Drosophila melanogaster: one gene and its partners. The protein of the gene in region 1 interacts with the protein of each later gene in a pairwise test. Each region holds a gene or a part of one and is shown on either strand. Other genes may lie near its edges. The genes, in order: Nca, CG14645 and Obp19d.

Region 1 (3,759 bases):
AAGGCAGATTCAGGATACAGAGTTTTGAGATGCGCAGATATGCAAACGCTTACTGACTGACTATACACATATGTACGTATGGATCTTTTGACAATGGGTGGTTACCCTTTATATAACTACGAGTGCTCATCCGTTCGTCCGACGGTTCTATTGGTACATTTAGGTGCGCTTACTAAAGGACACTGGCATACCTTTGGTTGATATATGCCTTGGTGTGGTAATTATAAGTTCTTATCGAGGCCGCCAGTGTTTGAATTAGTTGTTTGTCCCTCTTTGCCGGTGCATACGAATCAATGTCACTGCCACTGAGGTGGATAACAAATATTAACAACTACTATATTTACACAAACCGGATTAGCTACTCCACCTGATATTCCGTGTGCGCAGGACACGTTCCGCCCACGTCTGTGGTCTTGGTATTTCCCGGGCCACTCCAGTTTGTTTTTTGTCGATATAGTCAATTACATCATCGTAATAGTTGGTTCTGTAGTTGTACATGTATTTGTATTGCAGAAACTTCGGCCTGAAAAGTGCAGATTGCATAAGATACAGTACGGTACAGTGCTGTACAGTACAGTGGAGGACCAACCTGACCCAGTGGCGGTAGAGCTGCACCGGTTTCCTGTAACCATCGTCTTCTGGCGGAGGCGGCGGTGCTTTGATTTCTTCTACCTCTTCCGGAGCAGCCTCCTCGTTGGCCGGAGTGCCAGCCACGACGCTATCAGCCTTGTGATCGGATGCCACACTCGGTGCTTTTGAGGGTGGGGCCGGAGTGCCCGCCTGGGTGGATGCCGCCTTCTCCTCCTCGCCGCCGTCGTCGAAACCCCATGGATCTTCTTCGTCTGCCATATTACTGAAACGGAATCCTTTCAATATTATTATATATCTATCATAGACAGATTCACTTTCAATATTCGATCTCTAGGTAACGTAAGCCATCATCATATTATTATATCACAATAAGATACTTTAACAAATTCACTGTCTTCTTATTTTTTATAAACGTTGGCCTTTTAACGTTGCATAACATTGCAACACAACCTAAATTTCAATTTTGTTCTTAAAACAACCTTTTTCGCAGTTGATCGGAAATGTTTGGAATTCAGGACGCCCAAATAGCTGGCGTTCTTAGACCTTTCGAATTCAGGACGATTTAAATGGTTCAATGCATTATAATCTACATATAATGAGTTACATCATTCATCGATTGAATTGTATAGATTCATCTCTTAAACCACTCATATCACTGTTATCTTTCCAAAGGACTTTTTATCATAGACTTATTAATAGACGTTCAAGGGATTCACATTGATTTTCTAGCAGCTAAAACTAGGACATTGGGTCCACTGAAAAATTAGGGACCGTACCTTTACTATAGTGTTTATACTGATATAAAGGAAAAAAGACTAAATGATCGAACTGCTGCTCGAAACAAATGCACTTAGAAAACTTAATCTAAATATATCGAGAAGCAACATCTATATACAAAGGTTGGCATGCGTACTCACATACTAAATTTAATTGGCCGAAACGCTATTAACACCTATGTACTAAATAGTTTCACATTTCAGCATCAAAAGTTCCGGAACAATGAAAAAGTTAGTAAGCAGATTCAAATTTAAGTAGTCAAATAAATCTTTTAAGCTCAATTTGATCGATTTCAACAATTTGCTCATTTATACGGACTTAATTTTAAATAGTTACAACACTTGTTAACTTTTTCCAGAATAAGCCTAAAGATTATGAATCCTAGTTGATAAATGTTCACATAAGAAATCCGCACCGTAATTGTTAAATTTGTTATTTTAAAATTTTTTTGGTTTCATCATGAATCCAATAAGAATTTTAATTATTTAAAAAGGAACCGTTACTCTATCACGGGAACGACGAAAGTGGAACACTTCATAAATTTATTTATATAGGTTATATCTACGATCTAACTAATACTCTAACCGTATTGGTATTCTTGCTTAAATACATGCTTATAATTTTCTTAAAAGCCCCGAAATTAATTTAAAAACAATTTTGTTTAAACGGCGTGAAAACAATCGCCCTAACTTATCGATACATCAAAAGCGAAAACCAGCAGCACACATCGATAAGGCGCTCGTATATATATCGCCTCGATTTAAGCCACCCCTAAATTTGTTGTATTGATTGTGTTTTGGTCGAATAAGTTTATTGCATTTGCGAAAAGTGATTTTGTTTAGCCTAGCGGGTAGCAGAAATGTGCCTAAAATCAATGTGTCATTTTCGTTCAGGTAATAACCGCACCCACCTCCCGCCGAGGCGGCGAAAATCCCGTGTGAATCGAGCTACATACACACTTTAGCCCATTTTGCGTGCATATACACTGCATGTGCGTACATATGTACATACGCACCTGCGTACATATGTACATATGTAAATATCAAAAATAACAATTTAGGGCGAATTTGTGTGGAGAATAAAAATCAAGCAAGCAAATCGTTTTCCTAGGACATTGTACGTTGGGGCCAAGTGGACCATGTGACAAAGCCATGCCCACTCGCACACACGCAAGCACATATGGACACAAACAACAAACTACTTTATTTAAATCGAGCGGTTCGAGCAGTGCGAGCCGGTTATATTAATGCATTTTAATTCGCATTCGAATTCTCGCTCCAAAAAAAAAAAAAAAAACAGTGCCAATTTATGTAAGCGAGAACCCGAGGTCCACTGGGAGTTAAACGTGTGTAGCAAGTTGTGTAGCAAGCCATCGCCAAAGAAACCCCCGCTCGAAACGCATACACTTGGTTTGGTATACGATGTGGAATATTGGTGTCCAAGTGCCAGCCTTTCCCTGCTGACCACCCTCCCCCACCCCCTGCTGGAGCCCACTGGAGCCCCTTACCCGATTTGGTGTGAATATTATGTGCAAAATAAAAAGGCCGTAACACCGAACGAACGCTGGGGAGGAAGGGCAGGAAAAAAAACTGTAGGCGCGGGCCGTGCTTTCCCCACGTGACACGCAGGCGTATGCGTGTGCCAAAAATTCCATTTATTCGGCGTATATTCATCGCGAAAGGCGATTTCAAACTGCATTGACACTCGCACTCGCGTTTCTGGCCCAAAGTATACCAGCCATCTAGTGAAACAAGCGCTGATTGTGACCCACAATCCCAAAATAGCCTTGTTCCCAACATCTTACTCCAAAATACGTGTTCAAAATGGGGTTTTGGGTTTCTCCAGGAACCGAACTAATTGCCTCCAGATTGACCATGACCTTAGCCATTTTCAAAACTCAACTACCTTCCGTTTGGCACGAATTTGGCTCATGGCAGAGCTTTAATTTCAATTTTTTCGTTGCTGCTATTTTGAAATTTTAAATTGAGGGAGTTTCTTTATATTCTTTCGAAAAAAAAGATTCAGCAATATCGAAGAGAATCGCATATTCCATTATAATATTTTCTTACAATCCGATGGCGATTTTGTAGTAACAAGCTCTTTTTATATTTTCAGCATATTAGCCTCAGTAGGTAAATAATGCTTTGACTTGGTCGACGGAAATCAAACTGATGTAAGTAAAGGAATCACATAAAATGTACAATTAAATAAATACCAATAATATTTGTGCCTAGCTTAATTATAGCCTTAAATGCATGACTAACCCAATACTTAAGCAGCCAATTAAACAAATATGACTTGTAATAAATATCTTCCAAATGTGTGTGTAAACCTTTAAAGTAATCAATCATACTAATTGATCATGTTTAATACCGATTCGGATTTTATAAA
Region 2 (3,068 bases), on another chromosome or scaffold:
CGTGGACTGACCTAAGTGCGGATGCTGTTACGGCGTTGGTTACCCACATTTCCCCCAACTTAATTCGGCTCAATATCGCTGGCTGCCGCCGCGTTTTGTTTGACTCGCGTAAGTAGTTCCCACCGTCTTCAATGATATATTTCCTTTTTGATTTGAATTTAATTTGTTTAGATGTTGCAACCCTGCAAAAACGGTGTCCTCAGTTGTTGGAGCTTGATCTATCTGATTGCAATAGTCTAACACCAACAGTCATTACTGCAATTATGAAGTTCAAGATGCTGGAATATTTGTCCGTCTCCCGATGCTATCTTATTCCAGCAACCAAATTTATGTAAGATTTTTCCAGCAAGCGTCTGATTAATCCCTACCCAGTCATTTTCCTTGCAGTGAACTTAAGAGTATGCCCTCGCTAACCTATTTAGACATATTTGGGATGCTGTCGGACACTGCAATGGAAGTCCTTGAGAAACAACTGCCAAAAATGGGTATAAACAAATTCATTCACAGTTCGGTATCCCGCCCGACTGTTGGCACGCGACGCACCTCCATTTGGGGTCTGCGCACGCGCGACTAAGTCTCGACTCTGCTGCTTCCGTTACCATTTGAATTTGTTTTGCTGCGTAAGCCACCCGTAACGCAGTTATTTTATTCTCAATTCAACAACATAAATAATCACATTTAGCTGTTCTTATTTTTGTGCGTTTGGTCACTGATCCGCTTCGCTAAGGGGCTCCACTGGTTTCTCCCATTCCCATTCCTCCCAGTTGACGCAGTTCTTGAGACTATCCATGAATCCTGTTTCGCTGGGGCACTTGATTTCAATGGCTGGTTTGTTAAGTGTCTCACACTTCCAATACGATGTGGCATCCCAATTGTTGCGGAAAACTACAATGTCTAGCTCGGCTTGGGTCTTGCAACCCGGCTGTCCGTCACCATCATAGGCGAGGGCAATGCCAAAAGAAATCACTAGTAGGGAGGTTAGAGCGAGCTGAACCTTCATCTTTCAAAAAATGTTCTATGGTCTACTGGAAGTACTCGAAGCCTTTTATAGTTACATAGTTGCAGCGGTATAGTATCCAAGTGCAGCTACTACCAGAAAATGCTTTTATAAATTGGCATTAATGTAAACACTCGAGAGAGGAAGGAAAAGATAACAGTACTTGCCCTTGACTCCAATCTGTTCAAACTAAAAAAGGTACAATGAGTCACCCAATTTTCCATTTAAAAATTCATTGTTTTTATACTATATTAAATATTTAAGAAAATAAACAAAAAATATGTCTTTTATCAAGGAAAGCATAATCAAGCCAATTCAAAACAAAATCATATAGGGAAACGACAAATATAAATATTTTCGATCTAGTTCGTAATCATAGGTTCAAGAACAAAGTTCGTATTGGACAGCCTGCCAAATTTAAAGATTCAGCAATATAAAAGTAACTAAAGCAAGAGAGAAGGCTATGGTCGAGTTCCTCGACTATCAGATACCCGTCACCCGTGGCAACATGGGTCAACTAACTTGCGCTGGGTATTTGTCTCTAGAATCTGTATGCTTAATCTCAACCTTCTAGCTTTTATAGTTCCTGAGATCTCGACTTTCATACGGACAGACGTACATGGCCAGATCGGCTATTGATCCTGGTCAAGAATATATGTACTTCATATGGTCGGGAACGCTTCCTTCTGCCTGTTTCAACGAATCTAGTATACTCTATTACTCTACGAGTAACGGGTAGAAATATAAAATTGAAACTATTTTGAGTCATCCCTCCAATTGGTAATTTTTTTATATATTAACGGAAATTTAAAGTGCGTTACAAAAGTAAAAATTCTTTTGGTGCTAGTATGCTTAACGGGGTGGACATTTCGGCGTTTTCCACACTTCTTGGGAAATCACTTTAGACAAATTTGTACCAATGTCGGTACTTAATAGTATTTAACTATAACTTACCTTTTGCCTTTGGTGTGAATAGGCTATTAAGCCAAAGAGTAAACATTCGTCGATTGTAACTCCCTTGTCATCGATGTTGGCCAATACGTGACAACATCGATAGTATCGATAACTATCAGGTTCAGGTTCGCCTGTATTGCACTATTTTGCTTCACACACGTAATTTCGGAATTTGCCAGAAAAACACCGATCTGCTATTGATCTTAGTCCAAAATTGCGTTTTTAAGTCGAAAAGACACTTTTCGGCTTTTAGATGGATGAAGACTCGGCTACGATACAGCTGGGGGATAGGCGTCTCGGTAACGCGGTCGATCATGATCTGCTTCCAGGGCCACCCGGCGTCGATGAGAAAAGCGGAAACGAGAACTGCGAGCCCAGGAGCAGTGGGTCGGGAAAGCGCGGCAAGTCGAATTCCAGGCGCCGTTCCACATCCCGTGGTCGGTCGGATTCCCGCAACACATCGCCGTCGAACACCCGGCGAAGGCATTCCCTGTCCCGCTCGCTGACTCCACCGCGTCGTCGTTACGATTCGCCCGATTATGGGCGGTACTCCCGACGGCGCTTTGATCGTGATCGGCGACGCTCCCCCGAACGCCGGCGCTCTCCGCCACGTCGCGGACGACGGTACGGACGATCCCGGTCCCGCAGCATGTCGCCCCGACGGGGAGGTCGATGGTCACCAAAAAAAAAACCGTCGTCGCCGCCAGTGCCCCCTCCGCATGGAGGACCACATCCTCAAATGACCCCTGGCTATGGAGCTATGGCCGCACATATCTACGGATCATACGTCGCTCCACCAGATGTTTACGGTCACCAATATGGAATTCCGCCTAACTCGTTTCCACCTCAGGGACCGGGGTACGGTATTCCAGGTGCCCCGCCGGACCAAAGCTCTTTTGGCTCTGGCTACGGTCCGCCTCCCACAAGCGCGTGGGACGTAAATGGTACGTTTCTAGACATTTAACGCCAAAAGCCCTTCATTTATTAAGCATATTATTTCCTGCAGTGTACGGTCAGCAGGTGTGGATTAACCAGCCTATTTCTGGGGTCCAGCCATCCGCTTCAGACTCCCTGATCCAGCCACAGAAGGCCCGCGAAACTCTCTCTGGCAAGACGA
Region 3 (3,759 bases), on another chromosome or scaffold:
AGATTCCCGAGATCAAGGAATGAGGCCATGGAGCTGCTCGCTGGCCCACCATTGCATGTTCTCCCTCCCTTTTTTTTTTGTTAGTGATTCAGTTCGATTTAATTACCAAAGCTAGAGAACTTGGAGTGGTTTCCCAAACTAATAAAGCGCCCAACCAACAAGTTACGAATTATGCATATTTATCGGGTGGGAATCACATATGTAGTACGTAATCCCGTAGTTGGAACTGCGAAAGATTGTGTTTTTTATTGTGCAAAAATGGGAAATAAATTACTGTATATATAGATTTATTCAAATCAATTGCGAGTGAGCAACTAAAACTTGATCTAGTACTAGAAAATCGTATAACTAGTATTTAATATATAATTATATTGCCTAATAGATTGTGCATTTTCGGTTAAAATTATCTGAGAAATCATTGTAGCTAAGATTATGGCCAAAATATGCGAGACACCTTCTTTCTACTCGTAGTTAAGATCTCAAGTGGTAGTTGGTGGTGGTGTCCATGGCGCGGAGATGTCCTCTACCAGACCAGCTTTACGTTGTTGCGCTCCAGCTGGCGACTGATGCACTGGTTGAAGAGGTGGGCCACCTCGCAGGGGTTCTTCGAGGAGATGCCGCGGCTGCAGGCCTGCGCCATGCTGGAGCTAACGGCGATGGCCATCTTGTTGTCCTGGGTCACCAGGCTGGTCAGCTTCTCCACCTGGCCAACGTTCAGCTTGTTGTCGGCGTCCATCTGGGTGCGAATGAGAAGTATTAGTGACCTTTTAGTTCTGGTTGTGACAAACGTCCGGCTACTCACCAACTTGATCTTCTTGAGCACGCACTCCACCAGGCACTTCTCCTTCTCACTTGGATTGGTCACCTTCCCCAGCGGTCGCTGGTCCCTGGGCAGCTGCAGCTTCTGGATGCACTCCATCCTGGCCGCGGTGACCAGCTCCTGCACCTGCGGCAAGTTGCGATCGATTACCGCCCAGATGGGCTCCGTTCCGGTCTTGGGCAGCAGCTTGGCGAGATCGAAAGCCTGGGTCTGGCCACGGACGCAGTGCGTCTGCAGCAGGACAGCGACCACTATCGTCATTAGCGGAATGGCTGCGACTGGAGTGGATGGCTTCATCTTGGCAGCTGCTTTCTCTTTGGCTCTGCTCTTGCTTGGCCCCTTGGCTTATAAGCTGACCCATGACCTCACACCATAGTCGTCTGCACATGGCATCGTCGCTTGATTTTGCTGATTGCAAGCATTTCTCCAGTGCCAAGTTCATCACCCAAGTTCGTCACCCGCACAAGTCACGCTCCAAAGACGATATTTGACATCGCCAACGCTATCCAGCGATGTGTCAGTTCACTCGAGACAATGACAATATCGGATTAATGTAGATCTTCAATCTGGAAACCTGATAGGTCTATCAAAGTACCAAGGTTTGTAAGGTATATTCATTTTTGGAATAATACATTTGAAAATATCAATGTTAATTAAAATGAAAGTAAGCCATTTGCTCGCAACCGAATTATTTAGATATATACATATATTATCAATCGGACTTATTTGTTGGATGATTTACCATGTACATATATGTATAATACTCGATCACACAGACTTCCGACCTGTTAAAGATCTTAATGGGGCTAGTAAGCCCCACTCAATCCAATTGGAATAAAAATTAGCATGCAACATGCTCACACGATGCAATCCGATTCCATCTATTGGATTCCACAATAATATAGATTGCGTGCTAAAATCTCCACTCGATGGATGGACAAACAGACTGACTGGATGGAACTCAGATAGCGATCGTTGGCACTCGGAATGATCAGAAAGTCGGCAGGCTGACGGGCAAACTGGGAAATAGGCGGACAGATGAAGGGTATATTATGGCCTAAACGGCCAATTTGGCAGGCGGCAACCGCAGTTCCCAGTTCGCCCAGTTCCATATAATTGTATAATCGCTCGATGGCCCCGCCAGTCACAATCACTCATCTCACCCAGAGCTGTTGATCGATTTAATTACAAGCGGGATTTCTCATCTCTCATTTTGCATTTAGCATTTTGCATTTTCATTTCCATTTCCACTAGCCATAGCCATTCCCAATTCTATATCCCCGGCATTTGCAGCGATTTCATGCCAGTCACCAATTAAGCAGGTAAGTGGAGATCGGTGGGCCATCTCATCTGGCAGCGGCAGTTCCAGCGGGGTGTCACTCGTTCACACGATGCCCAGTCGAGGGCATCTCCGCCGGATTCCGTCCCATCCCGTCCAGAGCGGCGGAGTGAAGTGGAGTGCCATGTGCCATGTGCTGCCCATGTAGTTCATAATTGCGCGTAATTGCCGGAGCTGCTTGAGACGCAGCTGGAGATCGGCGATGGATCCGATCTGCCAAATCAATCACGGGACTCGGCTTAGGCAATAGCTCCTATAAAACGCCGACGTTGCCGGCGATTCGCATCCAAGTCAGAGTTCGCACGTCGCGCAGTTCAATCGCAAATCGAAATGTCGCATCTGGTTCACCTGACCGTCCTGCTCCTAGTGGGCATCCTCTGCCTGGGCGCCACCAGCGCCAAGCCGCACGAGGAGATCAACAGGGACCACGCCGCCGAGCTGGCCAACGAGTGCAAGGCTGAGACGGGAGCCACCGATGGTGAGTCAGATGGTCATCAGTGCAGAAAATTCAGTAGGGAATACAGCTGTCAGCGTACCACTCCTACCTGTGGTGGATGTGTTAGGATAGTTATTGTGCAATTATCAATCATATGATATATCGCTTACAGAGGATGTGGAGCAGCTGATGAGCCACGACCTGCCCGAGAGACACGAGGCCAAGTGCCTGCGCGCCTGCGTGATGAAAAAGCTGCAGATAGTGAGTGCTGCTGCTCCGGCAGGAAGTGTGATCCACTCACCACCACCCATTCCATTCTCCCTCCCATTGCAGATGGATGAATCCGGTAAGCTGAACAAGGAACACGCCATCGAGTTGGTCAAGGTCATGAGCAAGCACGATGCAGAGAAGGAAGACGCTCCCGCCGAGGTGGTGGCCAAGTGCGAGGCCATCGAGACACCCGAGGATCAGTGAGTAGTGCTCGCCGGAAGCTGTTGGCTCAAATCCGGACTATAATCATGCTGCCATTTTCAGTTGCGACGCTGCCTTCGCCTACGAGGAATGCATTTACGAGCAAATGAAGGAGCATGGACTCGAGCTGGAGGAGCACTGAGAACAGATTTGAGACCCATGACGACCCCCCGTTACTGTATCACAAGCGCCCTTCTGGAATATAACCATCTTTTTTTTTTATGTGTATACTATGAATTAAGTACTTGATAAACTGAGAAACTGCAGGCTTGATTGTTTGTTGGATTGTGAAGGGGGATTCGTATGGGTGTGGTTATCCTCCAAGACTCCTCGGGACCCATAATTTACTAATAAAAAATTCTTGCTCAATTTCGACGATTATATTACAATCTTTATTATTATAAATACAAGTACATTTTTTTGTATATCATCTCCCAATCTGGGGCATATTTAAAAGATTCTTACTCACTATTTATTAATGCACGATGTTCTTCGTACCTGGGTTTCTCCAGGTGATATCCTGCGGAGAAGGGACCCAGCCAGGGATGCGCGTTCGCTCTCGGCTCCCCTAAATATGTCCTAGCTTAGCCGACTTAACGCAATCTGTCGGTAAAAATATCTATTTGCTCAACTTGGGCTCCTAGTATAGTATGCTGCCCAAGCCCAGGGAATTCGTGTCGAGAAGACGGCGGC

The links.
Region 2: the proteins of Nca (region 1) and CG14645 interact in a two-hybrid assay, tested with the Drosophila melanogaster proteins (2 studies listed by BioGRID).
Region 3: the proteins of Nca (region 1) and Obp19d interact in binary tests that used the Drosophila melanogaster proteins (3 or more experiments, as listed by UniProt).

What each region holds. Positions count from the first base shown.
Region 1 is NT_037436.4:19,989,782-19,993,540, forward strand, and holds the start of Nca (neurocalcin), read left to right. Parts: upstream 1-2,105; 5' UTR 2,106-2,261; intron 2,262-3,483; 5' UTR 3,484-3,541; intron 3,542-3,759. Other genes in the region: fln (flightin), read right to left, coding at 173-305, 368-523, 590-849. UniProt on the Drosophila melanogaster protein: Calcium-binding protein that is essential for promoting night-time sleep and inhibiting nocturnal hyperactivity.
Region 2 is NT_033777.3:4,333,049-4,336,116, reverse strand, and holds CG14645 (uncharacterized protein), read right to left. Parts: upstream 1,020-3,068; 5' UTR 1,001-1,019; coding exon 707-1,000; 3' UTR 611-706; downstream 1-610. Other genes in the region: Skp2 (S-phase kinase-associated protein 2), read left to right, coding at 1-108, 172-331, 388-574; CG9776 (uncharacterized protein), read left to right, coding at 2,205-2,895, 2,958-3,068.
Region 3 is NC_004354.4:20,417,649-20,421,407, forward strand, and holds Obp19d (Odorant-binding protein 19d), read left to right. Parts: upstream 1-1,964; 5' UTR 1,965-2,489; coding exon 2,490-2,637; intron 2,638-2,767; coding exon 2,768-2,856; intron 2,857-2,928; coding exon 2,929-3,065; intron 3,066-3,129; coding exon 3,130-3,208; 3' UTR 3,209-3,331; downstream 3,332-3,759. Other genes in the region: Obp19b (Odorant-binding protein 19b), read left to right, coding at 1-23; Obp19c (Odorant-binding protein 19c), read right to left, coding at 524-736, 803-1,117.